Linked DNA regions of Sus scrofa. The protein of the gene in region 2 purifies or fractionates together with the protein of the main gene of each other region. This does not show direct contact. Links are inferred from orthologs where the notes say so. Each region holds a gene or a part of one and is shown on either strand. Other genes may lie near its edges. The genes, in order: SNRNP70 and HNRNPR.

Region 1 (3,801 bases), about 27 Mb from region 2:
AGGACTCACGCCAAGCTTGGGAGCTGTAAAGCCAAAGGCCTATCTTGTTGGAATTTAAAAAGAAGGCCAGGGAGGCCTTACGAACCTGTGCACCTTCCCTTTCTCCCAGCAAAGTCCGAGCTACACTAGGCACACGCCCCCGCCCGGCACACGGAAGGCCTCTTCCGCCTCGAGCTCCGCACTCCCTCCCACCACCTGCTTCAGCCCAAAGGCTGGCCTGCAGCAGACAGCCCTGGGGGTCCAGGAGACGGAGCGCTGTCCGCGATCCGAGGAGGGGCCGCGCGGCCCCTGCGCCCAGAGGAGGGGAGCAGGGGAAGGCGTTTAGGGACTGGGAACCCAGTCAAGCAAAGGAGCCCTGCTCTTGGTTCGGAGTCCCAAACCCCAGACGAGGCCCAACCCGGGAGTAACAGTAAAGAAAACACGTGCTGTGTGTATCTAGGCTTCTCTCGCTCTCCCTCTCTCAGGTCTCTCGACGGTGGAGGGGCCTTAGCTGTGTTCCAATACCTTCAGTGGTTCGTGGCCTGGTGCCTGGGCCCTCCCGCACCCCCGGCCCCAGTTCCATGCACTCTGGAGAGCGGCTGGGCTCCACGGCCCCACGGCCCCACGGCCCCTCAGGAGGAAGCCTCGGCCATGACAAGGGAGACTGGAAGGGGGCAGAGCACCCTGAACCCAGCAGCCAAAAAGACGCTCTGGGGCCACCACATTGGTGGCCCGCAGAGGGCAGGGGGAGGGAGCGAAGGCCGGCCGGGTTCCACCAGGAGCCCGGGCCCTAGCGCAGCCCCTCTTCGGTGTTCCCGCCGCCTCGCCGTGGACGCTGTGAAGCCAGATGCCTCAGGGGGACTGGGGTGACGGAGCCCACGTGGAGAGGCCACTGCCTCTCCCGTCAGAGTTCATCTTTCCCCTCCTGGGACCGGCAAGACTACCAGAGAGCGTCTGGATGGGGACAGAAGTGACAAAGGGCACCCCAACGAGGAAAGGGCTTGGGGTGCGGGGCGGCTGAGGGGCAGCTGGGGGGAGGGAGGGGCGCCTCGCTGCTCCTGAGCTGCCTGGCTAAGCTGGGCTGGTGTGCGGTGCTGAGTGAGCTTACCCATGATACAAACCCTTATACCAACCATACACTGAGGTGTTGTAAGGGGAGCGTAAGCATCAGCTGCAAGCCAGCTGCGTGGTGGCTGCAGTGACAATAAGAACAGTCAATTAATACGGCGGCCCCTGGACACGCCGCAGCCCTGCCCGCCCCCACCCACCCAGCCCTGCCCATGTGGACGCCGCCGCAGCCTCAAAGGGGGCTCTGGAGAAGGGGGGGCAGGCGCCAAGCACGCCCACCAGCCCACTGCCCGCTGAGGAACAGGGCCGGGGCCGGGGCAGGGAGGCGGAGGGTCGGGTGGTCCAGCCCCAGCCCAGCTGGGGGGAAGAGAGGGCAGGTTCAAAGGCCAGTCCTCATTCCAACCTGGCCGCCCCAGCTCTGTGGGGGGGGGATGGGGAGAGGATCCCCGAAAATCCGACCCCTCCCCCTGCCTCCAGCTGGCCCCAGCCCCCACCCGTTCCCTGCTTGCCCCTGAGGTTCAACGTGTGACACTTACCTCCCCGGGTTCACACACACACACACACACGTTGTGGGGGATTTTGGTTTTTGGTTTTTTAAAAAAACACGTATATAAAAAAAAGAAGATATATCAGAAACAGAGGGAGGAGGAGAAGAGACACGGCTGAGGTCAGGTTTGGCGGGGTGGGGGTGGGCCAGACGGCGGGGAGGGGCCGGGGCAGCAGAGAAGAGAGCGGGCCAGAGGGAGGGCGCAGGCGGAGGTACTCACAGTGCATGTCTCGCTCGTGTTCGTACTCGATGAAGGCGTAGCCCCGGGGCTTCCCTGACCGCTTGCTGTAGACCATGTGTATCTGTGGGGGGGAGCAGGTGAGTTGACACAGGCAAGCACTCCCACCACTCGCATGGCCCGGGGGCTAGGCCCTGGGTCGGGTGGTGCCAGCAACAGATGCTCAGATGCCCCCTCTGTCCCTTCAAGGACCCAGAGTGACCGGAGCTCCCGGTCATGGACACAGCGGTTTTAAGGGAAAACAAAAAAACAAAAAACCCACCCAGAGGGACAGATGCGCTAAGGGCCCTGGGTGCAGCACTTCCCGTGCAGCGTGACCTCAAGGCCAGAGCACTGAAGTGACTTTTAAATTAAATGAAAGCATGTCAGTTAAACACAAAGCCTTGGTCTCCAACAAGAGTCGGCATCGTCTTCCTTCAAGGGCCTGACAGGAGTGACTCCCAGCTCCGAGGGCCAGTCTGTGCCGCGCCTGCTCGCCCCTCCCTCGCAGCAACAGCAGCCGCGAACGCGCGGAAACGAGCGCGCCCAGCTCAGCAGCAAGGAAACTGGACTTGCAAACACCAAGTCTGGAGCCTGCCCACCTCTGCTCTGAATCGGCACCAAGTCGTCACTGCCTATATCCCAAGTCACGCACGCAGGGTAGGCCGGACCCAGGCTGCTGACTCCGAACCCCAGAAATGACCTGCGGTGTCCTCGGGGCGGCAAGCCAGGCTTCTCCCTCCCCCAACACACCTGCCACTCAAAATCCGCCGCCCCAGGCCACTCACCCTCTTGATGGGTCCATACACCTCAAACTCTCTGCGGAGCTTGGACTCTGTTGTGTCATAGTTCTACGAGGAGACAGGGGTGAAGTTAACCGGGAGCAGCCCTCAGAACATTCCTGAGACAGAGCCTCCTGTCCACAGCCAAGCCCCCAGCAGCCCAGGGTGCCAGGCTCTTCTGGGGCTCAGGGTTCGGGAGCTGGGGACTCACCACTCTGGCCACAAAGAGAGTCTTGAAGGCATCGCCCTGAGCATTGGGATCATTGTGCGGGTCCCCTGTGCGGGAAAAGCAAGAAATCTGTAAGGAGGAAGTGCTGATGGACTCACAGAGCAAGACAGATACGGGCAGAGGGCCAGAATTCATGGTCCCCTGGCGACCTTGGCATGTCCCTCTCTGAGCCGTGTCCCTAAAGCACAACAGCTTTTATCCGAGTGGCCGACTTCGGCTGGAGGGCGGGGAGAAGACTGACTTCAAGCTGACAGGCTGGGGCCAGCCTCTTTCAGACCTGAGGCCCAGGTCCCTTCCAGGTGTACCTAAGCCCAAAGGGGCATCTCCAGAGAAACAGCCCGATCCTTCTCGGTACAGAGCGTCCCCCCTCACCCGCAGGGCCGCCACGCCACTCCCTGGCAGGGCCTGCAACTACAGCCCGCAGGGAAACCGGAGCTGAAGCCACCCCAAGCCCAAGAGGGGGAGCCTACTGGAGTCCGAGCCCTGCTTTCTTCCTCCCGAGGCCACGGGGCATCAGGGAGGAACTCAGGGCTGGTGCTGGAGTTCAGAAGCGGCTGACCAGATTCTCAGGCCCAGCCTTACTACCACCAGGCCACTGAAGAACTCCACCGCCACAGACAGAAGCCAGGATCTATCTCAAAAGCAATTCCCACAGCAGACTCCGATGGCTCAGGCCTGTGAAGAAGTCCTCTTTGCCAAGCATGGTGGCCCAGTACACACGATGGCCCTTGATTCCCACCAGAGCCCCAAGGCACCCTGCCCACTGCGTAGCAGAGACGGTTCTTCTACAACACAGTGCCGCCCGCAGAAGAACCTGCCACCTCCGAGGAGAACGGGAGGCAAGGAGGCGTGCGATCATCTCCAGAACACACGGTGGGCCAGTCCTGCTCGACACAGAGTTACTTACCACCGTTTTGCAAAAGGAAGTAACACCAACCCCTGAGGCATGGGAGAGGGGCAAGCGTCAGAGCAGCACAGA
Region 2 (4,486 bases):
CAACAAATCACCACAAAATACTAAAAAGCCCCTCAGCTCGCAATTCTTATACAGTTTTTACAAGTTTGGTTTAAAAACAGAATGAACACCCACAGACCACTTAATCAATGTTCAAGGACTTTCAAGTTTTCCTAGCTCTGCTTCAAATCCAAGATAGGTGTGAAATAAATGCCCTGTTGTCTCTAGTTCAACCTGCTGGTGGTTTGGGTTTTCTCCACCTCACTTAAAACAAAAAACACAACTTGACATTAATTTTTGTTCTAAAATTAGTTTGCTACTCCCATTCACAGATTTAAAAGAAAAAATGACCAGGTTTAAAAGCTAAATGATTGTTTTAAGTCCACATAAAATAAAAAGTGAGCTAGAGTTAAGGCTGCTTCTTTAAAAAAAAAAAGTCATGAGTATATACTGAATTTTTTGTATCAGTAAAATAAAACTGAAAAACGTATTTGAGAACAGACAACTAATGTCTTCCACATAGTTTCAACAAACATTACCTAATGAGAATAAACTTAGGTCAGATGTCTCAGATTAACCTACCCAAATCATTCTGGGTGTTCAACCTGTATGTAATGCTGAAATGGACCAACACCCTGACAGAGAGATTAAATAATAAAACCAAAACAAGGCCAGTCTCTATACTGCCTCCTCAAAAGGGAATTAAAGTGCATTTGTCCGTGGTGAAATTATAATGTGATGAATAAGCAGAATAAAGACACTGCAACAAATACTGAAATTAAGGACATGAAGGTGGATCTCAAAGGAAAAGCCTACTTGATGAAACTCAAAATACCAGCTATAAAGAAAATACAAGTTTCCTGAAAAGCAGTAAAACTCATACATAAGGTAACCACACTTCCAGACTGCTTATCAAAACACTATGCAAATGCACACCAAGTGCATTCTTCTTAATTAAAACAACTTCATTTCAAAGTCCACTGATATTTAGTTGAAGTTAATGAAAAAGGGAAGAAGAGACTGAGTAGGAAGAGAGGAAAATGCAGAAAGGGTCCCTCTGAAAATGAGATAAATATCATGACTTATTATGATTACAAAACATCATTAAGACTTAGTAACCCAATAATGTCTATACAGATGCAGACTCCACGGTTAAATTCTGGGTAGATAAATGTCTCTCAAGACAAGCCCCAAATTCTGATGGACTGGCAAAAACATTCAAAACTGGCACACTTTTGATCAAGAAGCTACTTACAGTGTAAGATAAATCGTTTACTGATTAATACAACCTACTTCTACAAAGATGCATCCTAAAGTCCAAAATCTCTTTATGAACATACAGTTGTTCCCCCCCCATACGAGCATAAGATCATCAGAACTCAAAAGTTCTCGGTAACACAAACCCTTGCAGTATTGCATCTGAGAATTCTATTAGTCACGGAAAGAAAGCAAATTTTTAACAGAAAAGTTCAATAAACATCTGTTAAGGTGGTATTTTTTCTTTTAAGTATGTGTAAAGCAAAAAGACAAGTTGTGTATTAATCGCAAGACAAATATTTATGTCTACCATTCACTGCAAAGGCTCTCTACAAGGTGATTCTGAAACTGGTTGAAAATTTCAAAAAGTCTGTAACCTTAAAAAAAAAAAAAAAAAAAAAAAAAAAAAGTACAGCTATTAGAGTCCAGAAAATAAAACCTTTCATGTCAAGGAAAACCTCTCTCCAAGCCAAATACAATGTGCTCATTTTTAAAAAGATTTTTATGTCATTATGAGACCATTTAAAACTCTTGTTTTGTGTCAATACAATGCCACACAGCCAAACCATATTTCTGGATGCAGCAAATATACTAATGTGACTAAAGTCATTTGATCTACACTGTTTTGCAAAAAGTAGAAATTTAAATAAGGGCTGCTGGGACATTGGGGAAGTCTGACACTAGCCTCTCCCTGACTTTTTCTGAACATCTCGTGAAAACTCTTCACATTTAAGAGACTGGCTTTTAAAGAACCAACGAAATGAAAACTAACGGTTAACTCGGCTTAGGAGTGTCAAGCCCTTATCCTACGACTGACTCATGAGACATAAATTCAGCCTCCAGAGGACAGCAAAAATCTCAAACAGGTAGCGTAAAAGGACTGAACCCTTCAAGAACCCCAGGGCTTCAAGTTTTAAATTCTGGCAATACGGCTTCTACCATAGAAAAAAAAGAATCGCCTTTCCAATTTAGTGCGCCTGTGACATTCCTGGAATTATGTATCTCAGACGCCGCTCGAAGCCTAAGTTTCATGGCCTCTAATAGTCATTTTTTCCTTCAAATCTCGACTCGCAGCATGCAGAATGGGGGAGGGGAAGGAGGCTTTCTACACATACCCGCCTTTCGGCCTCTGCTTCGCACAAAAGTTTTCTCCCGGCTCAGGTCACTCGGGGTTTGCATCCCGCCCTCTGCCCACCCACCCCCACTCATGCCTGTCCCAAGCATCAACACATCCCACTCATAGCTAGGCCGACTGAGACAGGAGCTTGGAGGCTCCGACGGGGAAAGGCGATGGTGCCGTGGACGCCTCAGGCCGCTGGTCCGGCCCGGCCCAACCCGGCCGCGAGGAGCGACAGGCGGAGGCGGGAAAAGCGCGACCGACCCGGCAGGCCGCGCGAAGGGCGCCCGGTGGGCCGGACCGAGGGCTAGGGGTTGGAGGGGCGGGGGGAGGATGAGCGAGGGTGAGGAGGCGCCTCAGCGGGGCTAGGCCCTCAGCGGTGCGGCGGGAGAGGCCAAAGCCGCCCCCAGCCCATCCCCACCCCCACCCCGGGGCCTCGGAGAAAACCAAACGGGACGCGGTGCGGAGCCCCGGCCAGGCCCACTAGGGTCGGATCGGGGCTCCCGGCCCCTCCCCCCGCGGGCCGGCGCGAGACTCACCAGGACAGATCTGGGGCCGGCGGCCGGGCCCGTGAGAATCAGCGCGAGGCGCTTTGAAAACGACTAGAAATGGCGCGCGCGCCACCCCCTCCCCCCCTCATGGACCGAGACGCGATCCCGGCAGCACGCGGGGTTTCCCGGAACTGCTTCCAGGGACTCGGAGCGGCCGGGCAATCACCTCGCGCGGCAGCCTAAGGGACAGCTCAGAGGACCAATAGTAGTGAGAAGAGGCTCACTACTCCGGACGCTCGGGAGCCAATCGATGAAGCCGTAGGCTGAGCCAATGAGGGAACTCAGCGCCGCCGGCTGGGGCGCCTCCGGGGCGGGGGTAGGAACACAAAGGGGTCTATCGTGAAGCCCCGGGTGGAGGCGAGGCTGCGGGGCACCGGGCCCAGGGTGGCCGAGGCCCCGCCCTCCTCGTCTGCTGCAGACGCGAAGCCGAAAAAGTAGGCCTCGCGCCGCGTGGCCGCCTCCGGAATCCCGCCCCCTGCCGTCCGCGCCGGCCCTGGCGGGCCGCGGCCTTCCCGCCGCTTCGCCGCTGCCGCAGCGCTGGTGATTCCCCCGCGTGCCGCCGCCGCGGCCGCCGCGGGCGTTCGCCCCAGACACGCCCACCGCCACGCGGTCCGGCCTTCCTCTAGGTCGTCTTTGGGACTTTAATTAGAGCACGATCTAAGGATTTGGCTCGCCCGTTTTTTTCCGAGAATCTTTTCGTGTAGAAAATCATCCCTTGGAACGCTCAGAAAACGGCTTCCTCGGCTGCCTTCCACACATCCTTGGGAGCAGATCAGAATGTGGGAGAAATCGCTAAAGTGGGCATTACTCAGAAGCAGTTAAGTACAAATGACAGAGCAGGGACCTTTCTTCGCGGGGTTTGACGCTAATTAATATTCAGAAAGCAGGACAGACGTATACATCACGAACCCCAAAGAGCCGTGCCAGGAAAAGAGCTAATTCCCAAAGGAGACTAATTTCCGTTATTCTGAAACATTTCTCACCCTCCACACCTACTGGTTTGTTCCTCGTCCTCGCCTTAATCCAAACCTCTAATCCCACATCCCTTCCTTCCCTACCTCAACTTCCAACACCCCACCCTTCCCCTCCGCGCCGGAGTGGAGGAAGTCAAGCAGTGTTCCGCAAGACTTCCATATACACTTCGAGGACCATTAGATTTTCCAGAAGCTATCAACCAAAAATTATTTACTCAAAACCTATGTGCCCAGTACTGAGCTAAACATCACGGTGGATCCAACTTTTGTGTTGAGGGGTGTGAGACTTATACAAATGATGGGATCCTTAAAAATATCTTAAATGATGAGTACAAATTTAGAAGTGTCTTGGAAGAGCATGGTAAAGGGACTTTGAAGCTTAAACTTTATTAGCTTCAGATAAATCTCCCTCTAACTCAAGGGTTCTTAATCTGTTTTGTGCCATTCAACAGTCTGGTATAAGCTATGGACCTCTTAGGGTTTGTTTATTTTTTGTCTTTTTTGCCTTTTCTAGGGCCACTTCCCGCGGCATATGGAGCTTCCCATGCTAGGGGTCCAATCAGAGTTGTAGCCGTCGGCCTACACCACAGCCACAGCAACGCCATATCTGAGCCACGTCTGCAGCCTAC

Evidence for each region.
Region 1: the proteins of HNRNPR (region 2) and SNRNP70 purify together in Homo sapiens (affinity purification with mass spectrometry; 3 studies listed by BioGRID and IntAct, with this or other methods). This does not show direct contact. The link is inferred for Sus scrofa from reciprocal best matches to the Homo sapiens genes HNRNPR and SNRNP70.

Annotation. Positions count from the first base shown.
Region 1 is NC_010448.4:54,294,810-54,298,610, reverse strand, and holds part of SNRNP70 (U1 small nuclear ribonucleoprotein 70 kDa), read right to left. Parts: intron 2,870-3,801; coding exon 2,805-2,869; intron 2,663-2,804; coding exon 2,600-2,662; intron 1,897-2,599; coding exon 1,815-1,896; intron 1-1,814. UniProt on the Homo sapiens protein: Component of the spliceosomal U1 snRNP, which is essential for recognition of the pre-mRNA 5' splice-site and the subsequent assembly of the spliceosome. SNRNP70 binds to the loop I region of U1-snRNA.
Region 2 is NC_010448.4:81,236,392-81,240,877, forward strand, and holds the start of HNRNPR (heterogeneous nuclear ribonucleoprotein R), read right to left. Parts: upstream 3,026-4,486; 5' UTR 2,872-3,025; intron 2,756-2,871; exon of another isoform or gene 2,331-2,755; intron 1-2,330. UniProt on the Homo sapiens protein: Component of ribonucleosomes, which are complexes of at least 20 other different heterogeneous nuclear ribonucleoproteins (hnRNP). hnRNP play an important role in processing of precursor mRNA in the nucleus.